Sus scrofa: one gene and its partner. The protein of the gene in region 1 purifies or fractionates together with the protein of each later gene. This does not show direct contact. Links are inferred from orthologs where the notes say so. Each region holds a gene or a part of one and is shown on either strand. Other genes may lie near its edges. The genes, in order: PPP1R15A and EIF2S1.

Region 1 (4,512 bases):
CTCTAACCTCTGTCTCTTTCCGTCTCTCCCTTACACACCCTCTCGTCCGCAGCTCCCCCACCCCCTATATCACTTTCTGTCCCAGTCTTTCTGTTTCTGTCCAAATCCTCTCCTGGGCTCACAATCTCTTTAAGTCTCCCTTCTGTTCCCTCCCTCTCGCCCTCTCTCTCTCTGGCCCTCCACGTCTGCTGTTTCCTTCTCTCCCGGACGCTCCTTCTCACTGTCTCTCTTCCTCTGCTCTCCCAGTTTCTCTTTCCCCTCTGCTGGTCTTTCCTTCCCCCTGCCAGCCGCCCACGCTGCTGTCCCGGCTCCCAATCCCCGCTGACCCCGCCCCTCTTGGCCTCCCCACCACAGCCTGACCTCTGGCTCAGCTGCCCCCACAGCTGAAGGGAGGGGCTGGGGGCTGGGGGCTGGGGGCTGGGGGCCACCCTCCCACCTCCACCCCACCCATCCACCCACACGCTCTTAGGTCCCTGCTGGACCGGGTCCCATCAAGGCTGAAGCTGGGATTCCTACATGTTTGGAGAAGAGGAGCTGGGCCTGGACTCCAGGACCTGAGGGGGCAGGTTGTGATCGGAAGCCTGGGTGATTGGCGCCTTGGGAATGGAAGGGAGGGGTAGGGGCTCAGACTACTGGGTACCTGACAAAATGTGAGCCAGGAGTCAGGACTTGAGAATGGAGCTGGGGTCTGGAGGTGTGGCTTGCAGTGGATGGGTCCAAGTCCTCCAGAGAAGAGAGGGCGGCCCCCAGATTGCTGGGTTCTGGCAAGAGCAGGGTCAAGTGGCCAGTGGCAATCTCCACCTCAGATCCAGGTGAGAACTCCGGTCTAGACTGAGGATGATGCCCTCTCAGGAGGGAGGCCTGGGTCCTGGGCGTATTTTGAGGTACAGGATTGCAGACCAGGTTGGTGGTGGGGTGCCAGGGACTGAAACCATGTCCTTAGGCCTGGAATTTGGGGCAAAAGACCGCCCCCCCACTCCCTTGATGTTGGTGATACCCAGCTAGAATTTCAATTTGTGTAAGCGGAGGTTCTGTATAAATTTGAAGTAGGTGGAGCCTAGGAGTGGCGCCTTGTGCCTGAGATAGGCACGGGATCTGAGGTTTTGGTCCAGTATTTCTCACCGCGTATTTGTTGAGCACCTACTATGTGTCACGCAGGCAGTGAGCAAAGAAAAGCGCCTGCCTTCAGGGGCCTTACACATTCTCTTTCTCTTTTGCAATGAATATAGACTCCGCTGTGCCCACCCTTGGGCAAGTGATTTCATGCCCAAGACTCAGTTTCCCCATCTGTGAAATGGAAATAATGATACCTTCCCACACCGGATAGGAAGCCGACTGGACTGGAGGGTGGAAGACTCTAGCCTGGGGCCGGCTGGCTAAATTGGGGGCGGGGAGTAACGGCGTTTGCCTGGAACAGAGGTTGAGCTCGCGCGCTCAAAACCTAACCAGTTCATGAGTTTGATTGGCAGCTCGCCTGCTTCAGGGCGTGGCCACGCTCAGAAATACCGCCGTGACGTCATAAAGTCCGGAATCTCCGCGAGAAGTCCAACCTTGTTTTCCGTTTCGTCCATCACGATTACGATTCGAAACCCCGCCTCCTCTCCTGACGTCACCACGTCCGGCTGCGTTTGTGTATAAAAGCGCTGAGGACCGCGTCAACCCTTACGTCCTAAGTGGCTAGCCGGTGTGTTTGTATTTGTTTCTCCGTGTGACCTTGCGCCCATTCGTCGTGACAACGCTTGCAGCAGCCGGTGACAATTTGAGTCCCCGAGCCCGACGCCGGAGGGCGAAATGAACGCTCTGGACTCCCGAGCTGTCCGGAACTGCGATCGCTTGTGGCAGCCCCAGCCGACGCTCCTGCCCCCAGGGTGACGCGCAATCCCGAGCTGGTGAGTTGAGGGGGTCGGAACATCTAGGTTCCTAGGGGTTTGGGGGCGGAGGACTAGAATCCTGGTCAATAACGAGGAGGGAGCTCGAACTTCTGAGTTCCGAGATAGGGGTGTTCGGAGCTCGGACTCCTGTGCCCTAAGGACTCCTGGGAACCTGAACTCCTTTTTCTGGAGAGGTGGGACGAGGCCGGACCCGAGGGCTCGGACTTAGGCAGGAGAAGGAATTGGGAGCTTAGAGTCCTGAGCCGGACAGAGGAAGAGTCTGGGAGCCAGAAGGCACCATCTAGGGATCGGAAGTTTTATGTCTTGGAAGGAGGAGAATGGTGGGCGCCTAATTTTTCAATCCTCAGGAGGATGAGAGAGGCAAGGGACAAGGACTTTGTCCCCAGAGGAAGCAAGCAGAGGACCTGTGTTCTTGCTTCCTGGGACTAGAATTTAATGGGTCAGAGAGGAAATGGGGCTGGGAGCCCTTTGGGCTAAGGAAGGAATGAGTGATGATCCAGACTCTTGGGTGTTGAGAGAGGCTGGGAAACTAGGGACAGAGATGGGTGTGGCTGGGATGAGAAAGGAATGTGGGGCGGGGCCTCTCTGGTTGCTGTTTGTGTTACTATTCGTGTTACTATTTGTGTTGCTATGACTCAAGGTCACTCTCTGATGCTATTCCCTCCATGGCTTCTAAACTCGTTTCCTTTTTTTTCTCCCTTTTCCCCAGCAGACAAAGATGGCCCCAGGCCAAGTGCCCCACCAGCCTGCCCCCTGGAGGGCTACCCACTCCTTTCTCCTGTCCCCGCTGATGGGCCTTCTCAGCCGGGCCTGGAGCCACCTGAGGGGCCCAGGCCCTCCAGAGCCCTGGCTAGTGGAGGCAGTAACCAGGGCAGACGCGGGAGAACCTGGCCTGGAGGGAGACACAAAGGCTTCTCTGGCCACCCAGCCACAAGAAGAGCCTGGAGAGAGGAGAGCAACTGAGGAGGATGAAGAAGCATCCTGGGGGAGCTACCCTGACCTGGAAGCCAAGTGTTTGCTTTTGGAAACCTGGGGACTTTCAGATGATGAGCGTGGTGGGGAAGCAGCAACCCGCGTCCCTAGAGAGCCCGGAAGTGAATTTATGGATGGCCTTCCTGCTCCCCTGTCCCCCAGCCTTCTGATGAGAGCCCAGCAGGACGTTCCTGGGGAGGAAGAATCTCAGGAAGAAGCAGTTACTGAAGATAAAGACATAATCACCTTCGCTTTTCCTCTGTCACACTGGGAGGGTTGTCCAGGTGTGGCAGTGGAGGAGGAGGAGGAGGCTGGAGAAGCTGTAAATAAAGAAGCTCCTAGAACATCTACCTCCCCCTCAGCTCCAGGACCCCAGCCCCGCTCCTGGGTGTGCTGCGCAGTGGAAGGAGCCACAGAGGAAGAAAGAACAGAGAACAAAGCAGCCACGAAGCCCTCCACCTGCCCCTCATCCCTCGGTTCCCACCCCGGGGCCTGGGAGTGTTGTTCAGGGGAGGAGCCTGAGGAGGAGGAGGACAGAAAGGTGGAGAAACGAGAGGCTGGCCCAGAGCCCCACTCCGCAATTCTAGCCCAGAGCCCCCTGCTCGGGACCCGGCAGCATCAGTCCAGGGAGATCTCAGAGGAGGAAGATGAAGAGAAGGATGAGGACAGGGATCTGGGGGCAGCCGAGGGCCCTTCTTCCAACCTACTCACAAATGCCTTCCTGAGGGCCTGGGTGTACAGACCCGGAGAGGACACGGAGGAGGAGGAAGACGGGGACAGTGACGAGGGAGCAGCTGAGGAGGAAGGAGAAGCTGAGGAGGAAAGAGAAGCTGAGGGTCCCTCTTCCAGCCCGCACCCAAGTGCCTTCTTCAGAGCCTGGGTGTATCGACCCGGTGAGGACACAGAGGAGGAGGAGGAGGACAGGGATAGTGATGCAGGAGCAGCTGAGGAGGAAGGAGAAGCTGGTCCTCCTTCCGTCCCACCCACAAGTGCCTTCCTGAGGGCCTGGGTGTATCGACCCGGAGAGGACACGGAGGAGGAGGACGACGATGAGGAGGAAGAGGATGGGGAATCAGAAGCAGCTGTCTGGGGACCAAGTCCATCCCTTCAGGCCCAGCGTGCCCTCCGCAGGGACCAGATGTATCAGCCTGGGAAGGGAACAGAGGGCGGGGAAGCTGCGGAAGAGCGGGAAGAAGCTGAGCCCTGTCCCTTCCGAGTGGCCATCTATTTACCTGGAGAGAAGACACCACCCCCCTGGGCTCCTTCCCGGCTGCCCCTCCGCTTGCAACGGAGGCTCAAACCCGCAGAAACCCCCACCAGCCCTGCCAGGCATCAGGACCCAGAGCCTCCCCGAAAGACCAGAAAGGTGGGTGCCGAGGGCTCAGATTCTTGAGCATCAGGGAAGAGGGCTGGGAGCTGGAACTCCTGGGTCCCCCCGTGTTGCAGAGGGTTGCGCGTGAGCTCTGCGGGGAGGCTTGTCCCCTGTAATGCAATCCTTTGTAAGAGGCTGGGCCCCAGTGGGGAGGAAGGAGCAGTCTCGCTGATGTCAACCCCAGGGAACCACCTCCTGCTTCAGATGAGTCACAGAGAATCGGATGACAGGCGGGTGACTAACCTGATAACAAGCGCTGTGGTGCAATTAATTGTT
Region 2 (4,496 bases), on another chromosome or scaffold:
CAGTGCTAGAGCAAAAACTACATATTAGTGCAAACTTTTGGTATTAATCTATCCTGCTTAACAAAAAAAAAAATAAAGCAGCATATTAATAACACTGCAGAGATATGTACCCCTTGAAGCTTGACAAAATAGGGATTTAGCAAATAAAGGAAGTAGACATGCAATGGCCAGAATTACCCACCAAGAAACAGCTGAGCTGGTTATTTCCTTTTTAAACAGGGTTTCTTTCCCCCTCCTCGGACAATTGTTGTCAAATATGTGTGTAATGTACTAAAATTTGAGAGCTAAAAAAGTTTCAAACTGGATATCCAAGTAAATGTCATGGAAATGTATGAAACAATTTTAATAGATTTAACAGATACTAACCACTTTTACTCACCAAGTTTCTTCAAATAGTAACTTATCAAATAGTAGTAGTAATTATTTATTTCTTCAAATAGATAATTTTGGGAAAGCAAGACAATCTGAATGTTAAAGAACATAAGCAATAATGTAAAAGAATTCTGAAGGGAGATATGAATGCTACTGCTTTAGGAGGTACAGGTTTTTTTTCTTTTCAACACACAATGTAAATAAAGGAATATTGCTGATATTATGTCATTCACAGTAAAAGATAGGAAGTAGCCCACAAGTACAAAAATAATCTATTTTGCACAGGAAAATCTACTCAATAGTTTGTAATAACCTATTTGGGAAAAAAGAATGGATATATTTATATGTATGACTGGTTCACTTTGCTGTACACCTGAAACTAACAGAACATTTTAAGTCAACTATACGCCAATAAAATTAAATTTAAAAAATAAAAAAATAATATATAATCTATTTTGCAAGAAAACTGCATATTGGTTGATAGATTTTGAACCTATCTCCTTACTTATGGATATTATGCTAATAACATAGCTTTGAAAAAATCCATCAGGAAAATAGGAGTCACACCAGGTATCTATCACCCCTTTATATGATGTTCAAAGCACTTTTACTTACTACCTGTGGCTGCCTGGGAAACATATTCCCATTAACTCCAGTTTCTAGTGTGTGCCATATACTTCACAGGTTTGTGCAGGGTTATCAAGTGAGATAAAATACTCACGTGAAAAATTTTGGAAAGTGTAATGTGCTATACAAATATAAGACATTAAAAGGCAAAGAAGGTATCAATTCCATTTTGTAATTTAGTTCATTAAACAATTTTTTTGCAGCATCTATTATTAAAATAAAGTACTAAATGACCTCCTCAAAGACAAATGCTTCATAAGAAAGGGAGCTAAAACCAGGTCATTCAATACTAAATCTAGTTTCTTAAACCACAGAGCCTCGATATGCCAGAGTACTACAACACAGTATGTGTTCTTTGGTAAAGAATACCCATCTTTCAAAATATATTAACTGAACTTGAAGCAAGTTTCAAATACCCTGCACTGTGAGTAATCCTGCCTGGTCAAAAGGTAGGCAGGACTTTTTTCTTAAACGACTGCATGGTCAAGCGGCCATGATGGATACAGAAAGTCCACATTTTTTTTGAAAGTAACGTATGATGTGTTAGAGGCAACTTCTATGATAATTCTAACTCCGCTCTAACACTCATCAGTTACCTTCTCTGAATGCCTGTTTTTATTACATAAATTACATAAACAAAGCTTTTAAACTATTTTACTGTGGCTGAAATAAGCAGCACCAATTTCTACAAGCATTATTACTATGCATCTTTTTGAGATCTTTTGAGGATCAGTGACTTGTTATTTGGCATCAGATGAACTGAGAACAGACAGTAAAGCTCTACATAATTCCAAACTGCTGAAAGACACAGAGTTACAAGATTTTTTCCCTTGAATAATAACATCAAACGGGAGAAAAACCAAGACTTCTTGCTAAACCTTTCCTCCACGAAACAATGTTTCTTGTTAAATAAAACTTAAAGTAGTCTAAGTTTGGGGGGGTAATAAAATTCCCTTATCTTTATGTTTTTTTAGTTATGCTTAACCGAAAGATCACAGCGTGTAATTCTACAAGTTTACTTTCATCGATGCTGAAACACGGTAAACCGATACTAAGAGTTATATATAAACTCTTCAACAGTATCTTTTAGTTTCAACTGAAGGGGTGACTCAGTCTACAGAAATGCACCGAGCGATAAAGTGATAGGAGCTTCAATTTTTAAATATAAGTTATCAGAGGAACAAATTATTCTTGGATACTTTTAAACCCAACTCTGTCAACATCATGGCCCAAACCACCGGTTCCTTGAAGCGGCCGGTCTGGTTTCCACTGAGAGGTAGTATTTGCTGGGGCGGACGAAAAAGATGGAATTCTCAGGCCCGGAGAGAGCAAAATGCTCAGCGTCGTGGGGCGGGGGTGTCATAGCGTTCTCCCGAGACGGCCCCACCTCAAGGCACCCCTGTTTTATGTATATTGAAGACGCTGTACAATCACTGGGCCCACTTCCCTTCACGAGATTCCTTCGTTCGTACCTTGACACCACCGCTCGGAGAGACCGACACCCGGCCGGTGGCGACCGCAGTCGCGTCCAGGCACTTCCCGCTCAGGGACGGGAAAAGGAGGTGTTAACCCAGGGCCTACCCTCTACCGAACACCCATGCCATTGGACACAACCAAAGTAAATTCTTCGAGAAACTGATCGGGGAGACTAGTCACCTGAGGTATGTATATGGATCCCGCACTGGGGCCCCGCGCCGCGCTCTTCAATCAGAGAGAACTGACTTGATCCACCCGCAGCAGCCGCCGACTCTCTTCAGCGTGCGCTTCTCTCAACCCTACCGCGCATGCGGAACCACCTCGCAGCACGCAAGCGCCGACAGACTACAGACCGCTCTTCATCACCTACCATAGAGTCTAGGTCCTCCGCGAACAAAGAGGTCTGTGGGCCTTAGGAGGACTTGAAAAGTACATTTTCTCGCCATCTTTAGTTTTCGCTAAGTGACTTTCAAGGCGCAGATAAGAAGTAAGACTCGGATTCCTTGTCCCTAAAGAATAAATTCTCTACGATACTGTCAGTCAACCATGAGGTGGCGCTGTGACCAGAGGTGAATGTGGAGGAGGAGAAGGGGTGTACTCTTCTCTCTCGGTCTTTCGTCTCTTGGGTGTAGAGCCTTGCGCAGCCGCCTGGGAGCTGGAGGGGGAGGGGCTCGGCAGCGTACCGGAATCGAGGGGCGGTTCCGGGGTGCGCGCGCCTCAACATCCGGGCATCGCCTTCTTCCTGTCCCGGCCTTCCTGCACTCCTGTGCCAAGAGAAAGCGGAAGTGAAGAAGAGACACTCCGGCTGCCTCTTAGCAACGCGAAGGGCGTCACGTGACACAACCAGCTGACTCCGGTAGAGAAGGACTCTGTGGCTGCAGCACTTGCCTGGCCTGGGACCGGAGCCGCACGGTCGCCGTCAGAATGTCGGGCAAAGACCGAATTGAAATCTTTCCCTCGCGAATGTAAGTAAAAGAATGGAACGAACACACTTACGGGTTCAGGAACACCGGCCCGGAGCCGCTGTCCGTTCACACCCTGGACCAGCAGCGAGGCACCTTGTTTCCTTGGCCGACTCTGAGCTCTCCTCAGACACTTCGTGAGTCCAGGGCGAAGCTCTTTGGCGGGCCCGCACACATTCCTCTGTTTGAACCGGACTGGGCAGAACGAGCCCAGCCGGTGGAACAGGCGCCCGGCCTGCTGGATTTTATGAAGGCTCATTGACTTTACTCATTAATTGAGCTTTTCACCCCACATTCCTTTATTGAGCCGGGCACTATCCTTACGTACCTATGAGTTTTCGTCACTTGTGCCTTAAGAGAGCTAAAGACAGACAAGCCGAGGAGGTTTGCCGATAATGCTTTGAAAAAGGAAGTTTACTACGATGGGAAGCAGGCTTCTAAGCCAAATTGGGGGTTGAATCCAATCACCGTAACGTGGACGTTAGGTTCGATAGTGGATCCCCTTGCTCCTTTTCCCTTGAAATGTTTGTCGCCTGAGGTGGGAAGCTATCCCAGAATTTCTAAGGCACTCCTTTTGCTCTGTCACCATTGCATCTCATTCAGGCCTGTGTTAATATCACCCATCACGTTGTAAAGTGGATATTGTTTTATGTGTATTTACCACTGAACTACAAGCCCTCTCCAGGATGAGATCTCTTTTATTAATCCATAGAAAGTCCATTAAAAAAATGGTGCCTGAATGAACCCATATTTTGGAATTTGGTCAGTCGTGGGCTTCATTGCCTGAATTCTTTGGCTGGAGAAATAGCATAGCACTCTAGGTGTTTGGCCAGTCTGTAAAGAAAATTTTGAAATTTTCTTAAATGTGCCTAAGAACATGTGGAAAGTAATAATTGTTCTTATTTGTCGTCTTCTCCCCTTTCTCCTCCCCTTCTTCTTCTTTTTTTTTTTTTTTTTTTCTTTCTCTAAGGAGCAGAAAGTCAGTTTTGGTTCTGAGAGATGTTTTGACTGTGGTCCTCTCTTTGGGGGACCTTTTGTTTTTCTTCATTCTGAATTTTT

What was found.
Region 2: the proteins of PPP1R15A (region 1) and EIF2S1 purify together in Homo sapiens (affinity purification with western blotting; 4 studies listed by BioGRID and IntAct, with this or other methods). This does not show direct contact. The link is inferred for Sus scrofa from reciprocal best matches to the Homo sapiens genes PPP1R15A and EIF2S1.

Annotation. Positions count from the first base shown.
Region 1 is NC_010448.4:54,170,386-54,174,897, forward strand, and holds the start of PPP1R15A (protein phosphatase 1 regulatory subunit 15A), read left to right. Parts: upstream 1-1,652; 5' UTR 1,653-1,889; intron 1,890-2,601; 5' UTR 2,602-2,610; coding exon 2,611-4,230; intron 4,231-4,512. UniProt on the Homo sapiens protein: Recruits the serine/threonine-protein phosphatase PPP1CA to prevents excessive phosphorylation of the translation initiation factor eIF-2A/EIF2S1, thereby reversing the shut-off of protein synthesis initiated by stress-inducible kinases and facilitating recovery of cells from stress.
Region 2 is NC_010449.5:91,083,598-91,088,093, reverse strand, and holds the start of EIF2S1 (eukaryotic translation initiation factor 2 subunit 1), read right to left. Parts: upstream 3,070-4,496; 5' UTR 2,656-3,069; intron 1-2,655. Other genes in the region: ATP6V1D (V-type proton ATPase subunit D), read left to right, coding at 3,400-3,440. UniProt on the Homo sapiens protein: Member of the eIF2 complex that functions in the early steps of protein synthesis by forming a ternary complex with GTP and initiator tRNA. This complex binds to a 40S ribosomal subunit, followed by mRNA binding to form a 43S pre-initiation complex (43S PIC).